Callithrix jacchus: one gene and its partners. The protein of the gene in region 4 interacts with the protein of the main gene of each other region in a pairwise test. Links are inferred from orthologs where the notes say so. Each region holds a gene or a part of one and is shown on either strand. Other genes may lie near its edges. The genes, in order: CEP70, DNAJA3, FHL5, ATOSB, KIF20A and TRIM27.

What was found.
Region 1: the proteins of ATOSB (region 4) and CEP70 interact in binary tests that used the Homo sapiens proteins (3 or more experiments, as listed by UniProt). The link is inferred for Callithrix jacchus from reciprocal best matches to the Homo sapiens genes ATOSB and CEP70.
Region 2: the proteins of ATOSB (region 4) and DNAJA3 interact in binary tests that used the Homo sapiens proteins (3 or more experiments, as listed by UniProt). The link is inferred for Callithrix jacchus from reciprocal best matches to the Homo sapiens genes ATOSB and DNAJA3.
Region 3: the proteins of ATOSB (region 4) and FHL5 interact in binary tests that used the Homo sapiens proteins (3 or more experiments, as listed by UniProt). The two-hybrid records come from large-scale screens. The link is inferred for Callithrix jacchus from reciprocal best matches to the Homo sapiens genes ATOSB and FHL5.
Region 5: the proteins of ATOSB (region 4) and KIF20A interact in binary tests that used the Homo sapiens proteins (3 or more experiments, as listed by UniProt). The two-hybrid records come from large-scale screens. The link is inferred for Callithrix jacchus from reciprocal best matches to the Homo sapiens genes ATOSB and KIF20A.
Region 6: the proteins of ATOSB (region 4) and TRIM27 interact in binary tests that used the Homo sapiens proteins (3 or more experiments, as listed by UniProt). The link is inferred for Callithrix jacchus from reciprocal best matches to the Homo sapiens genes ATOSB and TRIM27.

The regions. Positions count from the first base shown.
Region 1 is NC_133518.1:45,794,728-45,798,227, reverse strand, and holds part of CEP70 (centrosomal protein of 70 kDa), read right to left. Parts: coding exon 3,334-3,500; intron 1-3,333.
Region 2 is NC_133513.1:6,527,822-6,531,937, forward strand, and holds the start of DNAJA3 (dnaJ homolog subfamily A member 3, mitochondrial), read left to right. Parts: upstream 1-1,316; 5' UTR 1,317-1,335; coding exon 1,336-1,546; intron 1,547-4,116. UniProt on the Homo sapiens protein: Modulates apoptotic signal transduction or effector structures within the mitochondrial matrix. Affect cytochrome C release from the mitochondria and caspase 3 activation, but not caspase 8 activation.
Region 3 is NC_133505.1:102,562,312-102,565,811, reverse strand, and holds part of FHL5 (four and a half LIM domains protein 5), read right to left. Parts: intron 398-3,500; coding exon 211-397; intron 1-210. UniProt on the Homo sapiens protein: May be involved in the regulation of spermatogenesis. Stimulates CREM transcriptional activity in a phosphorylation-independent manner.
Region 4 is NC_133502.1:141,997,497-142,001,453, reverse strand, and holds the start of ATOSB (atos homolog protein B), read left to right. Parts: upstream 1-1,157; 5' UTR 1,158-1,368; intron 1,369-1,526; exon of another isoform or gene 1,527-1,850; intron 1,851-3,957. UniProt on the Homo sapiens protein: Transcription regulator that may syncronize transcriptional and translational programs.
Region 5 is NC_133503.1:36,590,327-36,593,427, forward strand, and holds part of KIF20A (kinesin-like protein KIF20A), read left to right. Parts: intron 1-455; coding exon 456-594; intron 595-714; coding exon 715-902; intron 903-988; coding exon 989-1,118; intron 1,119-1,295; coding exon 1,296-1,490; intron 1,491-1,597; coding exon 1,598-1,709; intron 1,710-1,808; coding exon 1,809-1,877; intron 1,878-2,077; coding exon 2,078-2,221; intron 2,222-2,348; coding exon 2,349-2,514; intron 2,515-2,625; coding exon 2,626-2,790; intron 2,791-2,919; coding exon 2,920-3,059; intron 3,060-3,101. UniProt on the Homo sapiens protein: Mitotic kinesin required for chromosome passenger complex (CPC)-mediated cytokinesis. Following phosphorylation by PLK1, involved in recruitment of PLK1 to the central spindle. Interacts with guanosine triphosphate (GTP)-bound forms of RAB6A and RAB6B.
Region 6 is NC_133505.1:2,069,995-2,074,136, reverse strand, and holds the start of TRIM27 (zinc finger protein RFP), read right to left. Parts: upstream 2,801-4,142; 5' UTR 2,516-2,800; coding exon 2,069-2,515; intron 573-2,068; coding exon 477-572; exon of another isoform or gene 1-476. UniProt on the Homo sapiens protein: E3 ubiquitin-protein ligase that mediates ubiquitination of various substrates and thereby plays a role in diffent processes including proliferation, innate immunity, apoptosis, immune response or autophagy.

The DNA of each region.
Region 1 (3,500 bases), on a different chromosome or scaffold from region 4:
CCATGGATGAGGGGGAACTACTGTATACAAAAATCAGCTGGATATCTCTTAATTCACTGTACCAGGCCAACATTATCCTGATACCAAGCCAGAGATACTACAAAAAGGAGAGAACTATAGACCAATATCTATTACGAATATGAATGCAAAAATCCTCAACATAATATTAGCAGGCCAAATTCAACACACAGTAAAAGGATTATATACCATGACCAGGTGGAATTTATCCCTAGAATGCAAAGATGACTCAACATAGAAAAATCAATCAATGTAATACACCACATTAACACAATAAAGAAAAAAAAATACAATCATCTTAATTTTCAAAAATCCCAAAACACCCTTGGGGGAAACTGTAGCCCCCAAAGCTAAACTCACTTCTTTGGGTTTCCTGCATGGTATGTGCATGGCATCTTCCTCTAAAGAGGATTGTTATTTTCTTATGTCAAATGATATATATAAACTGTCATTTCTGGCCAGGCACGGTGGCTCATGCCTGTAATCCTAGCACTTTGGGAGGCTGAGGTGGGCGGATCACAAGGTCAGGAGTTCGAGATTAACCTGGCCAATATAGTGAAACCCCGTCTCTACTAAAAATACAAAAATTAGCCAGGTGTGGTGGTGAGCGCCTGTAGTCCCAGCTACTCAGGAGGCTGGGGCAGGAGAATTGCTTGAACCCGGGAGGCAAAGGTTGCAGTGAGCCAAGATAGTGCCACTGCACTCCAGCCTAGGAGACAGAGCAAGACTCCATCTCAAAAAATAAATAAATAAAAATATTTCTCCAACTCCTTAAACTAAGATCTTGCTTGAGGTTCCTTGGTTATATCCAGGAGATTGGAAGCCAGGTTGTGACCCAGCTTGCTCTTTGGAATAAGATGCCTTAATCTTAGGCTTCGAATAATTCCCATCAATACTTTTAAAAATACTATTCCTTGCATATGCAGATAAGCAGGCACATAAGGAAACAAGACACCATGAACTACAGCTTAAAGAAACAAGACATGGAAATGCTAGGGGTAAATGGCAGATAGGAGGCAGGACTAGATTGCAGTTCCCACTCAAATGAATAGAGCAGTGGGTGGAGACTCATACCACAAACTTTTGCTCCAAAACTACTTCAGGAATATACCAGGAAAGCTGAGAAAATTCACAGACCTCTCAAGGAAGTGGATTGCTCCTGCAGGACCTAGGAGACACCCCAAATACTGTGAATGCCCAAGCTATGCAAGTGGGAAAGGTGGGATTGTCTACTCCTGAATATACATCCTCACTGGGGAACCTGAAGGTCTAGTTCATGGCACAGGATTTGACCTTACCTGTAACTGAGTCAAATTAGAGAGCTGAGCAAAATAAAGGGGTAGAGGAAGGAATGGGAAAAGCCCTGTGGGATCTCTGGGTCCCCTGGGAAGCCATTTCTGACTTGTCTCACAGGGGCCCTTTGGAAAGGCTGCCAGGGAAGCTGGTAAAAGACCACATAGAGAAGGAAACCCCCAGCTGAACTTTCTAACAACTCCAATCTGACATGAAGTTTCCTGGCCAGAACTTGGGGAAGGGCAAGAATAAATCCAGTGTACAGATTTGACAAATGGGGAGCCACGGAAGCCCTGCTTGCTTTCTCAGCTGGGAGGCTGGTAGCCTGGGACAAGTTCTCAGCTCTGCTCACCCACTGCCTGGAAATGAACTTGGTGCTGTTGGTGACATGCGACCAGCCTTTTGGGTTGTATGGGAACTAGGTGAGGCCTATAACTGCCGGCTTTCCCCAACTTTCCTGACAATCTGCATGACACAGCAGAGACAGCCATAATCCTCCTGGGAAAATAACTCTATTTACCTGGGAACCAGACCCCTATTCCCCACAGCAGCTGCAGCAAGCCCCACCTAAGGAGAATCTGAGCTCAGAAACACCTAACCCTGCCCCCACCTGATAGTCCCTCTCTACCCACTCTGGTAGCTGAAGACAAAGGGCATATTCTCTTGGGAGTTCTAGGGCCCAGCCTACTGCATGATTTTATAAATACACTATTGATGAAGAAAGCAACCTTGTTAACAAAGCCAGTCTAAAAATACAACATTCTAATGGTAAAGGAGTTTGTCCAGCAATGTCTTCTCTGAAACTATGATCAATACCAGCAGCTCTAGTACTGCCTGCCCCAAGCTGGCAGCATAAATGAGGATAGTGTACCAACTGCCTCTATCCTCATACTAGAGCTCCATAGTATCTCTGGTAGAGTCTCTCAAACTCCATGGAATTTATGCTAACTCACTTGATACCTCCAACACTGGCAGCATACACTGAGGGGAATTCTAGACTTTGCCTGATGAATACTGCTCCCTTTTAGGTAATCTGAACCTACATATGCAAAGGTATATATAGTGTTGTGTGAGCAAAACCACTAAAATAAGGACTTAATGTTTAAAATGGTACGTTAGTAAAGATCAGAAACACCTCATGCAACTAAACAGTTACCAGCACAAAAGACTCATTTTCTTTCATCACAATAAACACCGAAGTTTTAATAGCTTTTAAAATTAGGGAGTTAATTATTTAATGTTATAAAGTTGCCATTTCTACAAAAAGAAGTTTTAGACATAAAAAGTTGTAGATGCCACCAGCCAGGTGCAGTGGCCTACGCCTCTAATCCCAGCACTTTGGGAGGCCTAGAAGGGTGGATCACTTGAGCTCAGGAGTTTAAGACCAGCCTAGGTAACATGGCAAAACCCTGTCTCTATAAAAAATATAAAAATTAGCCAGGCATGGTGGCATGCACCTATATTCCCAGCTACTCCAGAGGCTGAGGTGGAAGAATCACTTGAGTGCAGGAGGCAGAGGTTGCATTGGGCCAAGACTACACCACTGCACCCCAACTTAGGTGATAGAGCCAGAAGCTGTGTCAAAAAAGTAAATAAACAAAGTTGTAGATTCCTATTAGATATCCAGTAGAGATATAAAGTAGGCAGCTAGATTTGAGTCTGGCATTTGGGGAGAGGACTGGGCTATAGATAGAAATTTCAGATCCCAAATTAGATTGAGATCACCAAGGGAATCAGAGTATACAGGAAACAGAAAAGATCTAAGGACTGAGCACTGGGGAATTCCAATACCAAGAGGTGAGGGAGATGAGAAAAAAAAACAGCAAAAGAAATTAGAGAATGATCAGTGAGGTCAGAGGGAAACAAAGAGGATATTCTGGAAACCAAGCGAAGGGAATTTCAAAGTAGCAGTGATAGGCCAAAAAAGGTAAAAACCACTAAATTAAGCAACACGCAAGTTACCTGAGACCATAATTAGCTGTTTTAGTACTAACCATCATCTAAGAATTCATAATTCAGTACCTGTAAAGTTTTCTGCTCCTGTTGAAGATCTTTTATTTTATTCTGTCGCTGGCAAAACCTATTTAGTGATTCATCCTCCAATTCACCAATTTTGGATTTCACACTCTCCATAATTTGTTCCAAGTCATTAGCTCGTTGTTCTTGATGGGCTGCTCGGCTTTGCTCTA
Region 2 (4,116 bases), on a different chromosome or scaffold from region 4:
TTTAAACCCAACTAAGAATCCTCAGGTTCTCTTGCTATTGTTTGAGGTGGTGCTGATGGTGACAGTGTAAAAACTGAAACTCCTTTGCAAGACTAACCAGGTCAGGTCTCCCTTTGTAGCTTCATCTTATCACATACTCTTATATTTAGGGCTTAAGCAAAGAAGGCAAACGTTTCCTATCTTAGACATTTGCTTCTGAAGTTCTGGCTACTCGGAATACTCCACTCCTACCTGACGCACTTTTCGTCAAAGTCCAATTTGAATCTTACCTCTCAGAAGCCCTGACATTCCAAACTTCCTCTCTCCCTTTTTAGAAAGGGAATGACTTGGGAGGCCGAGGCGGGTGGATCACGAGGTCAACAGATCGAGACCGTATTGGTCAACACGGTGAAACCCCGTCTCTACTAAAAATACAAAAAATTAGCTGGGCACGGTGGCGCGTGCCTGTAATCCCAGCTACTCAGGAAGCTGAGGCAGGCGAATTGCCTGAACCCAGGAGGCGGAGGTTGCGGTGAGCCGAGCCGAGATCGCGCCATTGCACTCCAGCAGCCTGGGTAAATGACACCTTCGCCTTGCATGGCTTTCTTGGGTAGCATTTAACATAGCTGCTAAGGAGCCCCTCTCGAGTCATTGTCTGCTCCTCCACAGCAGGGATGGTGTGTCATGCATCACTGTATCCCGGATATTCCAGAACATGCATGACACACATTAGGTGCTCACAAGTTTCACTAAGTTTTTAGGCAGCAACGCTCTCATTCTGAACCACCAAGTTCACTGCAGGTTTGGAGAAGACTAACATGCTTAAGAAGGGAGTTGAGTCTTGTTAGAGAAGGATGGTGGGGAATCAGAGTAAGAGAAAGTGAGACTGCGGCCGGGCTTTGGGGATGACAGCGAAGATTTACCATAAGCTCGCGGAGACAGCAGGAGTAAAACGCACGCAATTCACTGTAAGTCTCAGGGTCAGCAGGAGGGAACCAAGCACGGCATGCTGGGAGCGGCACTACAGAGCGCCGCGTTGCATGCCGGGACTTGTAGTCTCGCCCCCCTCCCCACACACACCCCGGTACCCTCGGACCGATTACGTTCGGCTACATTCAACCACGTCCTTATACAGATACCGTGCACTCATTGGTCGTCTATCACGAAACAACGAGATTATGCAGGGCAATTCTACCTAACAACACTATTCAGAGGAAACCCGGTTTCGGCGATGGCTACCAGGAAGACGCATTACGTGCGTCTGCGCGTGCGCAACGCTAGCGCCTCTACGCGCGCCCGCCGTTCCTGCGAGGGCCCTAGAGCCGGGCGGCGCAGGCGCAGTGTCCCTGGGCCAAGATGGCGGCGCGGTGCTCCACACGCTGGTTGCTGGTGGCTGTGGGGACCCCCCGGCTGCCGGCTGCAGCGGGGAGAGGGGCCCGGTCGCCCAGGGAGGGCGTGATAGGGGCATCGCTGAGCCGCAAGCTGGGCATCCCCGCCTTCCCGTCTACCCTGATCGCTTGTGGCCCCCGAACGCTGCTGACATTGAGACCTTGTGTCAACCTCACAGGTGAGGGCAGGTTCTAGCGCCCGAGTGGCGGTTTCAGGCCTACAAAGGAGCGAGTCTTCTCGCTGCGACTACCTCTGCGGGGGTAGCGGGGTGGAGGGTGTCTTCCGACCCCGATGCGGAATTGCGGGAGAGTCAGGCAGGCAGGAGGCGGAGAGGCCCTAGAGGCTACTCAGCCGTCTAGGGAGGGAGAGAAGCGTGGAGCCCACGGCGGCAGTGATGAAACACCCCGTAGATCGTGAACCTTCACCTCTCTGTCAACATTTCTGGAGGCCACTGCTCTTCCTTTCCCATCTCTCTACCTTCTAGCCCTTAGCGGAAGGCAAGAGGTAACTGCCCTTCGGGAAGGACTAGGTACTTTCTTACAACAACCCTGCGAGATGCCTGTCTTCATCCCCATTTTAAAGATTCACCAGAGGAATCGACCAGCCCAAGCCCAAGGTCATTAGGTTAGACTAGGAGTTGTCTCAAACCCAGAGCTGTCAGGTCATAACTTAGGCCCTTTCTACCACATGGTGCCAATTGAAAGGCACAGTTAATATGTTTTACAAGTCCTTAAGTTGGTAATTGTAATAACAACACAGACATTTATTGAGCACTTACTGTTGGTCAGGCATGGTTTTCCCCTTATATCACATTTCCATGTGATAGGCACTGTTATTCCATTTGATAAAGATACTGAGGCTTAGATGTTAAACCATTTATAAATGTCACAAAGAAGTGGAGCCTTGATTTGAAACTTGCCGCCTTCCTTGCCTGACATGATACCAAATTATACATTCCTTGAAGTGCTTATTGGTGTTTTACTTTCTTTTTCTTTTCTTTTCTTTTTTTTTTTTTTTTTTTTTTGAGGTGGAGTCTTGTTCTGTCACCCAGGCTGCAGTGTGGTGACTTGATTTCTGCTCAATGCAACCTCCGCCTCCCGGGTTGAAGCGATTCTCCTGCCTCAGCCTCCCCAGTAGCTGGGATTACAGGTGTCCACCACTATGCCCTGCCAATTTTTGTATCTTTAATAGAGATGGAGTTTCGGCATGTTGGCCAGGCTGGTCTCAAACTCCTAACCTCAGGTGATCCACCCACCTCGGCCTCCCAAAGTGCTGGGATTTACAGGCATGAGCCACCACGCCTGGCAGCCATGTTTTTTTATGCTGTGTGTTTTGTGCTGTATGTTGTATGTGCCTGAATTGTGCTAGTCGTTTTGTGTTCTCTAGGATTTGTCCAAATGATATTTAAGCTATCCATAAATTTATAAAGATTAATTAAAGGGCCCTGACTGGATAATTAATACCAGATAATTTTCTATTGCAATCCAGTTTTGTAATACTTACATAGTAGACAATAAAGTATCAGTAATTGTGGTTGTTTCATGCAATGTAAAGAAAATAACTTGGGCTTGAGGGGTGAACTTCGCCAGTGTGTGTGGCCTGGGTGTATTATTTAATAGCTTTGAGCCTCTCTTTGAAAATTCATTCATTTACGGGAATTAATTGAGGCCTATTTTATACCACCCACCATTGTGGGCACTGAGGAGACGACAGAGAGCAAAGAGATTGGATGTGTGTTTGATAAAGAGAATGATTATGGCCGGGCGCGGTGGCTCACGCCTGTAATCGCAGCACTTTGGGAGGCCGAGACAGGCAGATCACAAGGTCAAGAGATGGAGACCATCCCGGCCAACATGGTGAAACTCCATCTCTACTAAAAATACAAAAAATTTGCCGGGCATGGTGGTGTGTGCCTGTAGTCCCAGCTACTCAGGAGGCTGAGGCAGGAGAATTGCTCGAAACCAGAAAATGGAAGTTGCAGTGAGCTGGGATCGCGCCACTGCACTCCAGTCTGGCGATAGAGTGAGATTCTGTCTCAAAAGGAAAAAAAAAGATAATGATTATTTATTTATTTTTTAAGACAGGATCTCCTCCTGTTGCCCAGACTAGAGTGCAGTGGCACAATGACTACTCACTGCAGCCTTGACCTCCCAGGCTTCATCGATCCTCCATTCTCCACCTCCTGAGTAGCTGGGACTACAGGCATGTACCACCACACCTGGCTAGTTTTTCGTGTTTTTTGTAGTTGAGGTTTTGCCATGTTACCCAGGCTGAGCTCAAGTGATTCGCTTGCCTCAGCCTCCCAAAGGACTGGGATTGCAGGTGTCAGCCACTGCGCCTGGCCAAGAGAATAATTTTTTTGCGGTGGGGATGGACTCTTTCTCTGTCACCCAGGCCGAAGTACAGTGGTGTAATCCTGGTTCACTGCAACCTCTGCCTGCTGGGTTCAAGCGATTCTCTTGCTTTAGCCTCTCAAGTAGCTGGGATTACAGGTGTGTGCCGCCATACCAGACTAGCTTTTTATTTCTTGCTTTTTCTTTTTTTGAGATGGAGTCTTGCTCTGTTACCCAGACTAGAGTGCAGTAGTGTGATCTCAGCTCACTGCAACCTCTGCATCCCAAGTTCAAACAATTCTCTTACCTCAGCCTCCTGAGTAGCTGGGATTACATGTGCCAATGACCATGCCCAGCTGATTTTTGTATTTTTAGTAGAGACAGGGTTTTACCATGTTGGCCCTGCTGGTCTGGA
Region 3 (3,500 bases), on a different chromosome or scaffold from region 4:
GTGCAGGCTCCCAAAGTATACTCTTGTACTTTCCTTGAGAATTCCATGTAATATTTGTACTCATATATAGGTACCCGCTTGTGTTTATCTCAAAAGGAAACATAAATGAAAGCTTCCCATCTTTTACTTGCATTTCCTAAATTAACTAGACAGCCTTTTGTATAGCCATACCTGTTTCATGGCATGATCATATTGAACTGGAGAACTCACCAGTAATGGGTTTGGAACAGGCTACACACTTGTTGGCATAAAGATGGTTGTAGCAGTCCACGCAGAATGGATAGTCATCTCTGGACATAAACTGTTCTTCACAGAGATCTTTCCTACAGCCACTACACAGAAAACACTCTTTATGCCATAGCTGGTCACAAAATGTTATCCCACCTGAAGTTATCACCTGCCAAAGACCACAGAAAAGGCAATGACCATGGGAACCATTACAATTCAGATCACTTCATGATTCTCTTTAGATTCCAGTATCTGTGGGGGGAAAAGGAAGCAAAATGAAAAAAACGATCATTTTATGTCTTCTATATCCAGAACTGATGCTTCCAGCTACTCTATTTTCACCTCATGTTAGGATGTTCCTTTCCTAAAAAATGTCTTTAAAGAAAAAGGTATAATAATATGAGAAGCCAAAGGCTATAGAAATGAGCTAGAAGTAGAAAGAAATGAAAATTACTGTATATTTTTCTCCTACAATGAAATAGAACAGAGGCAGGGCTATATTGGTAACTCTGAATGGAATTGGCAAGCACCGTTATTTGCTAATGATAACTACCATTTCCTAAGTGTTTTTTTAGTCCTTAGCACCGTGCCAAGGATGACCTCTTCTAAAAAGTCTCAACACCTCTACATAGTAGAGACTACTATCTTTCCCTCTTTCCAGATGAGCAACTACTGAGGCTTACAGTCATTAAGTTACTTGCCATGGCCACAGTGAGCTAGTATTCAAACCTGCATGGTCTGACTCCATAGCCTGTGTGCTTCACCATTAGTACCAGACTGAGTCAAGGTTATCTTGCACAGGTAAGCAGCTGATAAATCCTTGTTGAATGAATGAATAAATACCAAAGGAAAAAATAGCTGGAAAGCAATTCCAGTATTGTATCTAGCAATGGGGTGCTGTGGGAATCAGAACTCAGTGGAATGAGCACTGGTTGTACATTGAGCCTTAACGTGTGATGTGAAGCGTTTTGTCAGAGATGTAATTAATTTTCCATAAGATAATATTTTTTTTCTAAACCAGTTTAATTCATGAATTCTACCTTTTAAAAGGCTGAAAAATCTTTATGCAGATTCAGATGGATAAATATTGGGCAATTCTTCTCGTGTAACTATTTTTAAGCCATATCACCTTTTGAATTCACAGCTAATGAGCTCTTGGAGTTGCCGTAGATACTGAAGTGTGTTTTTGTAAATGTTTTATAATGAAGCAATGGGATATCTGAGGTGGTTCCTATAAACTTTGTATCAAATTAACTAGATAGCAAAAACACAGAGCCTATTTTAAACCACTTCCTTGTTTACAAACTCAGAAATGTTGTCTGTAATACAGACTTGTGAAAAAATTATTCTAAAGATATTTTTAATTTTATAACAAATATCTTAGAAATTAAAGATATTTGATATAAAAGATTATTTTCCTAGGGGAAAAAAGCATGCTATTCTGAACAAGTAAATGGGAAGCATAATGGTGTGATGGAAGTAAAGAAATTTAAAATACCCCCTACTGACTTCAAATGCCTTACAGCAGACACAGCAGAATTCATGATTCCTTTGATTTATTTGGGCTAAGTATTCGCAGGCAATGCTTAAAAGATTCAAAACTTGAAAAATGTATTCACAGCAAAATAAAACTTGATATATACACCAAAGACTGTTTAATTAGAGAGAAGAAACTCTGGAACATTAAAAATAGTTTGCTTGTGATTATATTCCTTTTGAAGAGGTAGGAAGGTTAAGATGAAGTCTAATATCTGAGCTTGGTTTTCACCACTGATTGATCCCAGGATTTAGAAAAAGTTTCTTCTCTGAAAAAGTGGAGGCAATAATGATTTTGTACTCAGTAGGTGACAGATGAAGAATCAAAGAAGACATTTAACTCTTTTTGAATCTTGAGGAATTTGAATTTGAAGCATTTGTAGTTTGAAGTCATTTTCTTTCTGGCAGAAAATAAATCTTAGTATAATAAAATAAAATCTATGGACTTTAAAGCTTAAAGGTTTTAAGGGCCTGGTTGTCAAGTAGTTTTTCCTTTTTCTTAAGAAAAAATTTGGTCTTTGCCTTGAGTTTAAAAATTGTTTAGATTGGATCGTCTTGAGCAAAAACATATCTAGCTTTTTAGAAAAGGACTTGTGGTTTTAAAAACTAAATAAAAAACAATCTGGTATGTCACAATCTGTCTACTACCCAATATAAATATTTTGTAAATTTTTGATGACTTCAAATCATATCCTAAATATAGTTACAGGCTCCTATAACCTGGGAAACACCAGCACTTGGCCCAGACAGTTCTCAGCATGAATGTACTAAAGAAGTTTCACTCCTGAATTTTTATAGCATTGAAAGAGACTTTGTATTGTGTCCAGTAATTGATTTTAAGGTAATTCTCACAAATTTAATTACTTTTAGTCTAAGTCTTTAAGAAATGAAGCCTAAAATTGGCCAACTCAGTTGTCTCTTAAAACAGTGAGATAAACCTATTCATTTTATTTCCAGCATGATTTTAATTCCTTTAATTTTTAATTTTTATATATATTTTTAGAGATAGGATCTCATTGTCACCCAGGCAGGAGTGCAGTGGCTCAATCATAGCTCACTGCAGCCTTGAATTTCTGGGCTCAAGTGATCCTCCTGACTCAGCCTTCCCAGTAGCTGTGACTACAGGCACATGTTACCACACCTGGCTAATGTTTAAAGTTTTTTTATGTTGCCCAGGCTGGTCTTGAACTCCTGGCTTGAGGCAATCTTCCCACCTCGGCCTCACAAAGTGCTGGGATTACAGATGTGAGCCACCATGCCCAGCCTCCAGCATGTTTTTAAATGCTGTCATTGACTCTGCTAATTCTTTGGAGCTTCATATGTCATATGGTCATATAGTTTGCTGCTTATAAAGTCATTTTCTAAGCCAGTGTTTTGGTAGAATAATGAAGTTCTCAGTCATAAGATTATTTGATATCTTGTTGTGATCAATTGTAGTTCTCAGCCATCAATATAGTGTAACTTAATAATTATGATATAGCATACTGTATTGTTGCCTCTTTAAATGCAGGATTGGTATTGGTTATGTGTGTTAAAAAATTACTGTGTGCATGTGTGTATGTGCATGTTTGTTCACGTATGCATGTGTAGAAAGTGGTAGTGTGACTTCCAGCTGTCCAGATATACAAATGGGCTTAAGAGTTCTGCCAAAGTAGCCCATAGATAAGAAAATACTTAGAAACCGCTACACTAATACAGTGTGTTTTCCTGCTTCAGCTTTCTCATTTCAATTTATG
Region 4 (3,957 bases):
GATCCTGTGCCTCAGCACGGCATAAGGCTCACCCCACAACCCTGTGGGGCACTCAGCCCTACAATATAAAAAATAAAAGTTTAGGCTGGGTGCGGTGGCTCAAGCCTGTAAACCCAGCACTTTGGGAGGCCGAGGCGGGTGGATCACGAGGTCAAGAGATCGAGACCATCCTGGTCAACATGGTGAAAACCCCTCTACTAAAAATACAAAAAAATTAGCTTGGCCTGGTGGTGCACGCCTGTAATCCCAGCTACTCAGAAGGCTGAGGTAGGAGAATTGCTTGAACCCAGGAGGCAGAAGTTGCAGTGAGCCGAGATTACGCCACTGCACTGTAGCCTGGGCGAAAGAGCGAGATTCCGTCTCAAAAGAAAGAAAGAAAGAATGTGACTTTTGGAGAACTTGATCAAATCAAGACTCAAGCCGTCCGCTCCTCGGAGAGGCCACAGACTGGCGCTGAGCTGGGTTCTCTCAGTTCTGCAAGTGTCCTGTGCTGCCATCTACCGGTGTCTGGTAAGCGTCGCCCTCCCTTACTGTATCTCCTGAGGAGAGGTTGGGAGAGAGGAGACTCAAGCGCCAATTAAATTGCAGAACATATGTAACTGTCATGCAGTTCATTCGACACCTGTACAAGGCAAAGGCCCCACTTTTCTTCAGCAATTGCAGGCCTTCCTAACTCCATATCAACACTCATCTCGTAAAATTCACAGACCTCTTCGCTGACCTGCCTCAATGGGTAACAGATCTGACTCCCACTGTCCATCCCAGAACCCACACCCGCCTCCACAGCGTAGGCTTCAGAAACTGCTCAACCTCACAAACGTGAACCCCACCGTCCAGATTCCCGGACCCCTGAGATTTCACAGACTCTTGAGATTCCTTGCACTACCTGGCAAACCCTACGGACCTCCCCTATTAGTGCAAATGCACGCGGCAACCCACACGTCCCTACAAAGAGGCTCGAGTTCCACAGGCAGCTCACACCCGCGCGAAAGCTGCGAGAGAGCCCCAACCCGGCTCAGAGCCCTCAGGCCTGTGGCTTTGGCCCGGGCTCCGGCTCCCCAGCCCCGCCTCGATCCTCTCGGCTCAGGCTAGCAGCCTACCGGCCGAGGCCCCACCCCTCTGGACCTGTCATCACAGAAGCCGCACGTGGCCAGGGTGGGACCTCAGGCGACCTGCAGCCATCACTTTGTCTCCTCCGTCATCCATTGGGGCCGCCACCGCCAATCAGAGCCAGCGGATCCGGGTTGGAGCGCCAGCGCCGGGGTGAGGCGAGCGGGAGAACGGGCGGAGGAAGGAGAGACTCTGAGATAGGAGGGGGATCGTGGTGGAAGCGGGTGTGGTGCGACTTCTACCAGGCTGGAATCCGAGGTGGGGCGCCGGTGAAAGGCGGAGAGAACCAGAGGAGGCAGGGATCAGGGGTGGGGCTTAGGAAAAGCGGAGGATCCTGGGGAAATGCAAAGAAAATGAGAAGGGGGCGGGGTCAGAAGGGGCGGGGCTCGGGCTACAGGGGAGGAGCTCGAGAAATTAAACGAGGAAAGGGACGAGGCCGGAGAAGGTGGAAGGTGGGACAAGGGAGAGGGTGGGCCGGGGCGTTGCGGGGGCGGGGCTCGTACCGAAGGGGCGAGGTTTGCAGGCCGAGGCTACAGCTAGGGCTGCTCAGTAACTGCCTCAATCACTACCACCTCCCCAAGTGCAACGGGACCCACGGAACTACAGGTGTGGGGCGGGGTGAGCGAGGAAGAAGGGACACGGATGGGGGTGCGCTTTGCAGACAATCTGGAGACTGCTGTGTGTTGAGGGAAGACACGGAGTCGGGGGAGCAGTTCGGGACTCAATGTGTGGGCAACAAGGTGCATTCTCCAGGGGCCTCTGTGGGGGAAGGGCGGGAGCGCTTTGTGGGGGGGTGCAAGGTACACTGTGAGGGGGCTGGTTCGCTGTCTGATGTGGGGGGGTTGGAGGCGGTACATAAAGGGGAGGGGACTTGGAGGCGCTTTGAAAGAAGGGAGACTGTTTAACGGAGAAGGGTGGTGGGCCAGAGTGTAGGGGTGTCGGAGAGTCTGCGGGCACTATCTGAGGGGAAGGGGTTGCAGGCCCCAGTTGAGACGGGAGAACAGAACCCCCAGTATCCTAGCAGTTTAGGGCATTGTAGTAACTCCAGGAAGACCTTTGTGTTCTGGGTTCTAGGAGCAAGGGTGATGGAATTAGTGAGGTGAGGAGGCCAATCTGTTGCACTCATGTCTTTTAACTCCACCTTCTGGCCTGGGCACTGAGAGGAGCCGGACCCTGCTTGTCACCAGGGCTTGTGTGACTGTCTCCTCAGTCTATTTTGGATCTGTCCAACTAAGACTGGGGTTTCTTCCCCTAGCTGAGGTCCCGTAGGACCCTTCCCCCACTGTGTTCCTGTCAACCCCCCATCCTAGTTCCTGTTCCTCCCAGAGCCGGCCTTGGTCTCTGTCTCCCCCCCTCCCCCGCCCTGCCCTGCCCTTAGGCTCTGGGTGTGCTCATTTCCCACTTCCTTCCTTGCCCCAGGGCCTGGCCTGGCCCTTGCCCATCTAGGAGCTGTGCCCTGCCCAGGACTTTGTACTCAATGACCAGAGACCCTGGTAACCAGCAGGAAGGCTCAGACCCCACCCCCACCACTACCACCCAGGTCTCGCATAGCCCCCCCAAGTAATTGGTAGCCACATTTTACCACTTGCCAACTGGTTCCAACTGGTTTTCCCGACTCTATTTATTTTTTATTTTCCCCACTCTTGTCCTTCCCCTGGATGGGGAACCCTAGGGCTTCTGTGGGAAGGGGGAAGTGGTGAGGAGTACTGAGGGTCTTCGATCTCTTTTGAGAGGCGGGCCACTACTGTAAGCTGAACCCAGAAAGGGGTATGAGGTTCCAGCCTCAGCTTGGGGAGGAAGAGGGAGTGGCTCCCCACACTCCCTGCTTGAAAGCACTATCAGGACCAAGACTAGGACCTAGTACTCCTGAGGGGTCCTCAGCTTCCCTGAGGAGATTTGATGGAGTGCCAGAGTTCTTTTTGCCCCTAGGCTGGCTGGGAGAGTGTGGGAAAGACTTGAGTTCCACACAGTGGCTGAATGAGTGTGACAGTGTTGCTAAAAGGGGCCCCAAGCCAGCCTCCTCACACAACTACCCAGGAGCTGAGAGACTGGCTGGGGAGGGGGGTGTGCTGAGGACAGACAAAGCCCTGGGGTAGGGTGGGGTAAAAAAGGGCAGGCTGAAGCCTTTTGAGGAGGAGCTGATTGCTATGGCAACACTGCTTCCCAGACAGTCTCGCAGAGAGGGCGGGCCTAGGGCAGACTCTCTCCAGCTTCCTCAGGAGTGGGGAGGTTTGTGTGAGTGGGTGGGGCATGAAGAGGCAGGGCATCAGTTTGCTGTGCTGAGACTGGAGGATGTAGCCTTTCTGCTTTGGTACAAGCAGCAGAGCATTCGAATGCCTGGACCTATCCTCTGAAATGGATATGAGTGAAAATTAGTCATTAGAATTATAGCACTAATAGGCCAGAGCTGCAGAGGCCCTCAGCAATCATTGTCTATACAATCCCCTCATTTTACAGGTTTAGAAATTTATAGCTAAAGAGACTGTGATTTCCCAGATATCACAATGAAAGGGCATAAGTTAGGATCCAGCTCTCCTGATTTGCTGTTCACTCAGCCCAGGGCCTGTTGTTTTCTTCAATCAACGTTTATTGAACATGCCAGGGACTAATGTTGACTCTGGGAATATGAGCGTGAACAAAACAAAGTTGCTGCTCTCATAGAGCTTCAATTCTAATAAGGGAGAAAGAAATTGTGGGGAGGGGGGAGGAAGAAGTCAAGTAGTGTTAACTGCTATAGAAAAATAAAGCAGGGTAAATTTAGTGCAGCAAGGTAAGGCCTCTTGGTTGTACCATGCTGCTTTCCCAGGATACGTTGAGGCCTGGAACAGCTCTGATCCTTCACCCTGA
Region 5 (3,101 bases), on a different chromosome or scaffold from region 4:
TAGTTATATGTTAGTCACTATGTCAAGTAATATATGTATTTCAATTCCAACAAATTATATTATTATCGTTATTTCCTTATTTTCCTGACAAGGATAGTGTGGTGAATGTAATATTACTGAAGCCATGTAGTTAGTCATGGGTAGAGTTAGGACCTGAGTCTAGATCCATGTATCTCCAAAGCCCACGATTGGGGGCCATTATATTGCCCCATTGTGTGTACAGCATCAGGCCTAGGGCATAACATTCCTTAAGTGTTTGTTGATTTGGGTGAAAGATAGACTAGCAGAGAGTGCTTAGTCCTCAGTGTTTGGGGAACAGCTGGCAGCACTACAGGAAGAAGCTGCTTGAGTGGTCTCCAGAGCCAACCACTCAGGAAGGAATATATCTGCAGCTTTGCACAGGAGGCAAGTGGGAGATGAAGGATAGGCCACTAAAAATCTGGGTCTCTTTCTAGATCTTTGGGCCAGAAGTGGGACAGGCATCCTTCTTCAACCTAACTGTGAAGGAGATGGTAAAAGATGTACTCAAAGGCCAGAACTGGCTCATCTATACATATGGAGTCACTAACTCAGGGAAAACCCACACGATTCAAGGTGAGTAGTAATGCTTCACAGGATTCCTGATTGGCTGCTAATGGCATTGTTTTTACCTTTTGATACTCTGAGTTAGGGGGAGAAAGACACTTGCCTCAGCCATCTTTCATATGCCTCCAGGTACCATCAAGGATGGAGGGATTCTTCCCCGGTCTCTGGCACTGATCTTCAATAGCCTCCAAGGCCAACTTCATCCAACACCTGATCTGAAACCCTTGCTTTCCAATGAGGTAATTTGGCTAGATAGCAAGCAGATCCGACAGGAGGAAATGAAGAAGCTATCTCTGCTAAATGGAGGTCTCCAAGAGGTAAAGCATTGGTATCCATGGCAGTGGGGGCAGGGGGTACAAATCTAGGGAAGTTTTGTGCTTACCTTCTCCCTGTGCCCCTCTAGGAGGAGCTGTCCACCTCCTTGAAGAGGAGTGTCTACATTGAAAGTCGGATAGGTACCAGCACCAGCTTCGACAGTGGCATTGCTGGGCTCTCTTCCATCAGTCAGTATACCAGCAGTAGCCAGCTGGATGGTATGTACGATGACTGGGCTCTGCCAAGAAACAGTAGGAACCCACTCCCTGTTCCTAACAGCTGCCCAGAGTACAGACCAGAGGTTGCAATCTGAGGTCTGCCTTCTGAAGCCCCTGCAGGCCAAAAAGAGATGAACTGCTCTAAGTTGATGCCCTATACATTGGCTTCTTCCCCAGAAACAAGTCACCGATGGGCACAGCCAGACACTGCCCCAGTACCTGTCCCAGCAGACATTCGCTTCTCCATCTGGATCTCATTCTTTGAAATCTACAATGAATTGCTTTATGACCTATTAGAACCGCCTAACCAGCAGCGCAAGAGGCAGACTTTGCGGCTATGCGAGGATCAAAATGGCAATCCCTATGTGAAAGGTATGAGAAATGGGGGAAGTTGGCATGAACACTGGAGGGCAATTGGGGAGAGACTGGCAAAAGAGTTGGATGTTCCCATCTTATACCCTTCTCTACTTTGGCCTCAGATCTCAACTGGATTCATGTTCAAGATGCTGAGGAGGCCTGGAAGCTCCTGAAAGTGGGTCGTAAGAACCAGAGCTTTGCCAGCACCCACCTCAACCAGAACTCCAGCCGCAGGTGAGTGGATTGTAAGAATAAACTTCACTGTGTTCAGGAAACATTAGTGTTCCGTCTGGTCATAGAAGATGTGCAATGACTGTTTTTCATAACTTCCAGTCACAGCATCTTCTCAATCAGGATCCTACACCTTCATGGGGAAGGAGATATAGTCCCCAAGATCAGCGAGTAAGTTTTTCCATTTCGAAATTTGGGCTTCTTGGTCATAAATGGTAGTCGGGAAAGCATGAGGGAGGTTCTTAGGGGAACTTGTTCTCCTTCTTTGGGTGCAGAGATTCTTAGTGGGCCCTCCCCTCTCCAGAATTATACAAAGGGCCAGAAGGCTCATAACATATGAGGCCCTTGTCAGATCCTGTGCATCATTCTAGGCTGTCACTCTGTGATCTGGCTGGCTCAGAGCGCTGCAAAGATCAGAAGAGTGGTGAACGGTTGAAGGAAGCAGGAAACATTAACACCTCTCTGCACACCCTGGGCCGCTGTATTGCTGCCCTTCGTCAAAACCAGCAGAACCGGTGAGCTTTTGATTATAAGCCCTAGGCTCTGCAATTTGCTAAGAGACTTCCTGATCACCACTGGTGCTAGGCTACCCCAAAGGCTGCTGTTCTGCTCACAGCTCTAGTATCTCTGATTCTCTGCCAGCTCAAAGCAGAACTTGGTTCCGTTCCGTGACAGCAAGTTGACTCGAGTGTTCCAAGGTTTCTTCACGGGCCGAGGCCGTTCCTGCATGATTGTCAATGTGAATCCCTGTGCATCTACCTATGATGAGACTCTTCATGTGGCCAAGTTCTCAGCCATTGCTAGCCAGGTGAGAAGCTAGAGGTATGATGGGTATGCTCAACTTGGAACTGGTAACTCTAAGAAAGCTCCTAGGGACTACTTACAGACTCAAGTAAGATATATTTTTTTTTCTCTCTAGCTTGTGCATGCCCCACCTGTGCAACTAGGATTCCCATCCCTGCACTCATTCATCAAGGAACATAGTCTTCAGGCATCCCCCAGCTTAGAGAAAGGGGCTAAGGCAGACGCAGGCCTTGATAATAACACTGAAAATGAAGCTGACGTCTCCATGTATGGCAAAGAGGTGAGAATTCAAGAAGGCTTTGGTGCAGCAGCTTAGTAGCTACACATTTTCTATGGTGCCTTCCAGGTGGGCTTGTGCCTCTCGAGGGCATGGGCATCTGATGACCTCTGACACGTGTCTCTCCCCTAGGAGCTTCTACAAGTAGTGGAAGCCATGAAGGTACTGCTTTTGAAAGAACGACAGGAAAAGTTGCAGCTGGAGATGCAGCTCCGAGATGAAATTTGCACTGAGATGGTAGAACAGATGCAACAGCGGGAACAGTGGTGCAGGTACTAGCTGAGTGATCCCTCTTGCTCTGTCACCTGGGACAG
Region 6 (4,142 bases), on a different chromosome or scaffold from region 4:
TCCTAAATACCTCTATCATGAATTAACACATCAGCCACTTGTCAAGGCCTTGAGGCTGGAAGAAGAGAACAGAGTAAAAACTCCACAATCAAGGCACTGTCAAGGAGAATAACCCAGAGAGAAGCAACAGTGGGCCTTATACAGGACGTCTGCAGAATGGTAACAAAGGGAGCTGACTGTACCCAATAAAGTTATCTATGTCAGTTTTGCCAAGAATCAACCGTGGTCTATGCAGTTAGCAGGTTAAGCTTTATTGACAGGTCTGGTTTCCAGGGGTTCCAAACTAGGCTCCTCCATCCTTTCCCCAAAAGTAAGGGAATCTCTCAGTTCTCAGGGTGAGATCCCCCGCCATGTGCGGTTGATCCACCTCTACCTACAAGTTCTGGATGACTTGCTGGAGAAGTTTAAGGGAAGTAACAGCTCTACAGAAGAGGGGAGCACCAGCAGAAGCGACTGTGAATTCGGACAACCCTTACCAAGAGTTCGGCTCGTGCCTGTTCCCCCTGGGCCCGACGTCTCTTCTTTAAATCTTTCACTCTTTTAAGGTGGTCCAGCTGGTTCTGAATCTGCTCCTGAGAAAAGCAAAACAGATGGCAGTTCAAAATTAAGTAGACCTTAGCATCAGCATGGTCATCGAGACGGAATCTCACTCTGTCATCCAGGCTGGAGTGCAGTGGCGCAATCTCAGCTCACTGCAACCTCCACCTCAAAGGTTCAAGCGATTCTCCTGCCTCAGCCTCCCGAGTAGCTGGGACTACAGGCACGTGCCACCATACCCAGCTAATATCTGTACTTTGAGTACAGATGGTTTCCCCAAGTCTGTCAGGCAAGTCTCAAATTCCCGATCTTGTGATCTGTCTGCCTCAGCCTCCCAAAGTGCTGGGATTACAGGTGTGAGCCACCTCACCCAATAGCATGGTCATTCTTATCACAGATGGAGTCCACACACCTGATGCCAAGTCCTGTCTGGTCCTGTCCTCAGGCCACAGTGCCACCCACAAGATTAAGACCCAGGGCACAGGGGCCATCAAGCCTCGCCTCTGGCATTTTGTGTCTATCTAAGCAGCCTGTGGCTTCAACCACTCAGCTACTGCGTCAGGACTATTTGTGTCTATCTTAAACAATGAGTCATCTACCTGTCCCTGGTCGGATATTGCATGACTTAGCGGAAATGTGACTGGAGCAGGAGGCTGAGAGTTGTGTGGTACTGGAGCTTTTCCTCACAGGCATACTGCGAAGGTGACTTATTTTCCTCAGGTGTGACATGGGCAAACACCATCTTCCCAACCTGCTCAAGATGTATCACCAGTGAGTGAAATAATATAGCTGAAAGGTCCATTAATGTTAAGGGATTACACATGAATGTACTCCCATTAAACAGGGACATAATTGTGTATGCATTACTGAAGCCCTCAAGATACAAATAATTGTGTCATGGACTCCTTGAAGGGCGCCTTACAAGTGTTTTATTTGGAACACTTTGTCTGCACGTTACTGTTTGTTTAGCTGTGCCGGTTAGCAGAGGGCTCTGAGCGTCCTGTGATTCCACGTTCTTCCTCATGACTGTGTTATCTCCTGGGTCCTAGAGTAGTTAAACGACTTACTCAAGCACCAAAGAGCTGTTATTTTCCGTGAGCTTCTAGAGCCGGGCAGACTGAACGAAAGTGCTAGAGAAAATGCTTCTACACTAAGGAATGGCCGTGAGTCAGTGAACGTCTGAGCGCGTTTTGTTGCGAGCCGGTGGGAGCGGAGCGTGTCCCCAGCTTGCGGATGTGCGCGGGTTGTATGCGCTTCTTTCATTCTGTCAAAAGGTCTCCGTGTACAACGCGCCCGCGAGGCAGGAAACTCGGGGGCACACGGAGCGAGGAGAGTGGGGGTGGGGGGACTTGTGGCTTCTTCGCCAGCCACAGGTTTTCCTCCAGATCCGAGCGCGGAGGCTCCGGGGCGCACGGGGAGGAAATGACGGCTGCGAACCAGCCCCACGTCCGGCTCAGCCATTTTCTGGGCGGAAAAGGGACGCCCCGGGCTCTCCCCCTCCCTTTGTCCGCCGCCCGCCCCGCCAGCTCACCTTGAAGCCCTCCACGGCCTCCTCGAGCGGCAGCACGCTGTGTCCGCGGTGCTCGCGGGAGCGGTCGCACACCACGCAGATGGGCGTCTGGTCCTGCTCGCAGTACAGCTTCAGCGGCTCGCGGTGCTTCTCGCACGCGCCCATCTCCCCGCCCGGGCCCACCGGCCGCTCGGAGCGCAGCTGCTTCACCAGCTGGGTGACGTTGGCCAGGTGGCGGTTGGGCCGCAGGTGCCGCTGCGGGAAGGTCTCCCGGCACTGCGGGCACGACACGTTGGTCTCCGCCGCGCCCCAGCAGCGCGCCAGGCACGCGCCGCAGATGTTGTGTCCGCAGTCGAGCATCATGGGCTCGGAGAAGTACTGCAGGCACACGGGGCAGGTGGTCTCCTGCTGCAGGCACTCGGCCACGCTCGCGGACGCCATGGCGGGGCCTGCGGGGCGCACGGGCATGGGCCCCGACCGAGCTCCGCGCCGCGCCCAACTCTCCCGCGCTCTCCGGTCGCCGTTCCCGGGAGGCGCGGGGCGGGCGGAGGGCGGCGCCTCCCGGGCCCGGATCCAGACGCGCCCGCGCCGCGAAGACTCGAGGTGGCCGCGCCGCTCCCCGCGCCGGGGCCCCCGATGAAGGCGCGAACACGCTCCGGGGCAGGGCCGGGTCGCCGAGGGGCAGAAGCCCAGGGGCAGGCGCGCAAGACAACGTGGCCGCGTCCGAAGCGGGTCCCGGCGGCCGCGCAGACCCCACCCCGGCGCGAGCGGAAGAGGCGGCTCGGCGGGCGGGGCTTGGCCCGCGCTCCCAGTGAGAGGCTAGATTTCGTGGCCTCGGGGCCTGGGATTTTCTTCTCGGAAAGGCCGAGGAGGCTCTGCCGCGGTCCCTGGCCCGGTCGCGCCGAAGCTCCAGCCTAGGGGTCGGGGCCCGAGAGCCGGCGCTGTCTCCGGGCGCGGCGCCGACCGGGTCTCCTGGCCACGCGCTCCGGGCCTATAGGCTTCCGCGGCTGCCGGGCCGGGCCCCGAGTCTTTGTTCGGTTTCCTTTTGGTGCCTGGGTCCCAGCCCTGCAGAAGAAAGCAGGCTTTGTGTGGATGCCGAGGAACGAACGGAGACATCTGGCCTCCCCCGGAGTCTGGAGGATGAGGGTTGCGGACTAGCCCACCTGAGACGTGGGGCCTTTTATTAAGCAGCCCCATTTGTAGGCACCTGCAGTTTCGTTTAGATATCAGACGGTAACGTTTCTGTGTTGCAATAACAAGCCCAGTTCTGCTACTTCTCTCCTGTGCTCAGGCAAGTTGGTTTACCATTCATTTACCTCAGTTTCTCCCGTGTGAAATGGGGATAATTGTACCGCAGTAAGAAGTACATTTCCTTACATCTTTTACTTTTTGTACCATAGGGTTGTTTATCCATTAAAATAGTAATAAAATGCCCACTACATAGGGTTGTTGTGCTGAGTAGCAACTACAAATTGCTTGCTCCTTTCTGAGGCATCGACCCAGGGTCTTGGAGGCCGCAGACCGCCAGCATTTTTTTTTTTTTTGAGACGGAGTTTCGCTCTTGTTACCCAGGCTGGAGTGCAATGGCGCGATCTCGGCTCACCGCAACCTCCGCCTCCTGGGTTCAGGCAATTCTCCTGCCTCAGCCTCCTGAGTAGCTGGGATTACAGGCACGCGCCACCATGCCCAGCTAATTTTTGTGTTTTTAGTAGAGACGGGGTTTCACCATGTTGACCAGGATGGTCTCGATTTCTTGACCTCGTGATCCACCCGCCTCGGCCTCCCAAAGTGCTGGGATTATGGGCGTGAGCCACCGCGCCCGGCCCCCGCCAGCATTTTTATGTTACGTTCTTATCCCTTACTGGCGTTTCCTAGTTTTCTTTGAAATTTTTCTCAAAATTATCCTGCTGTCTGAGCAAGACAGGCTTCTGCTTCCAGATGATCACTTTATTTTTATTTTTTCAAAGTGAAAGTAAGTTTATTATTATTATTATTATTATTTTTGAGACAGAGTTTCACTTGTTACCCAGACTGGAGTGCAATGGCACGATCTCGGCTCACTGCAACCTCCGCCTTCTGGGTTCAAGCAATTCTT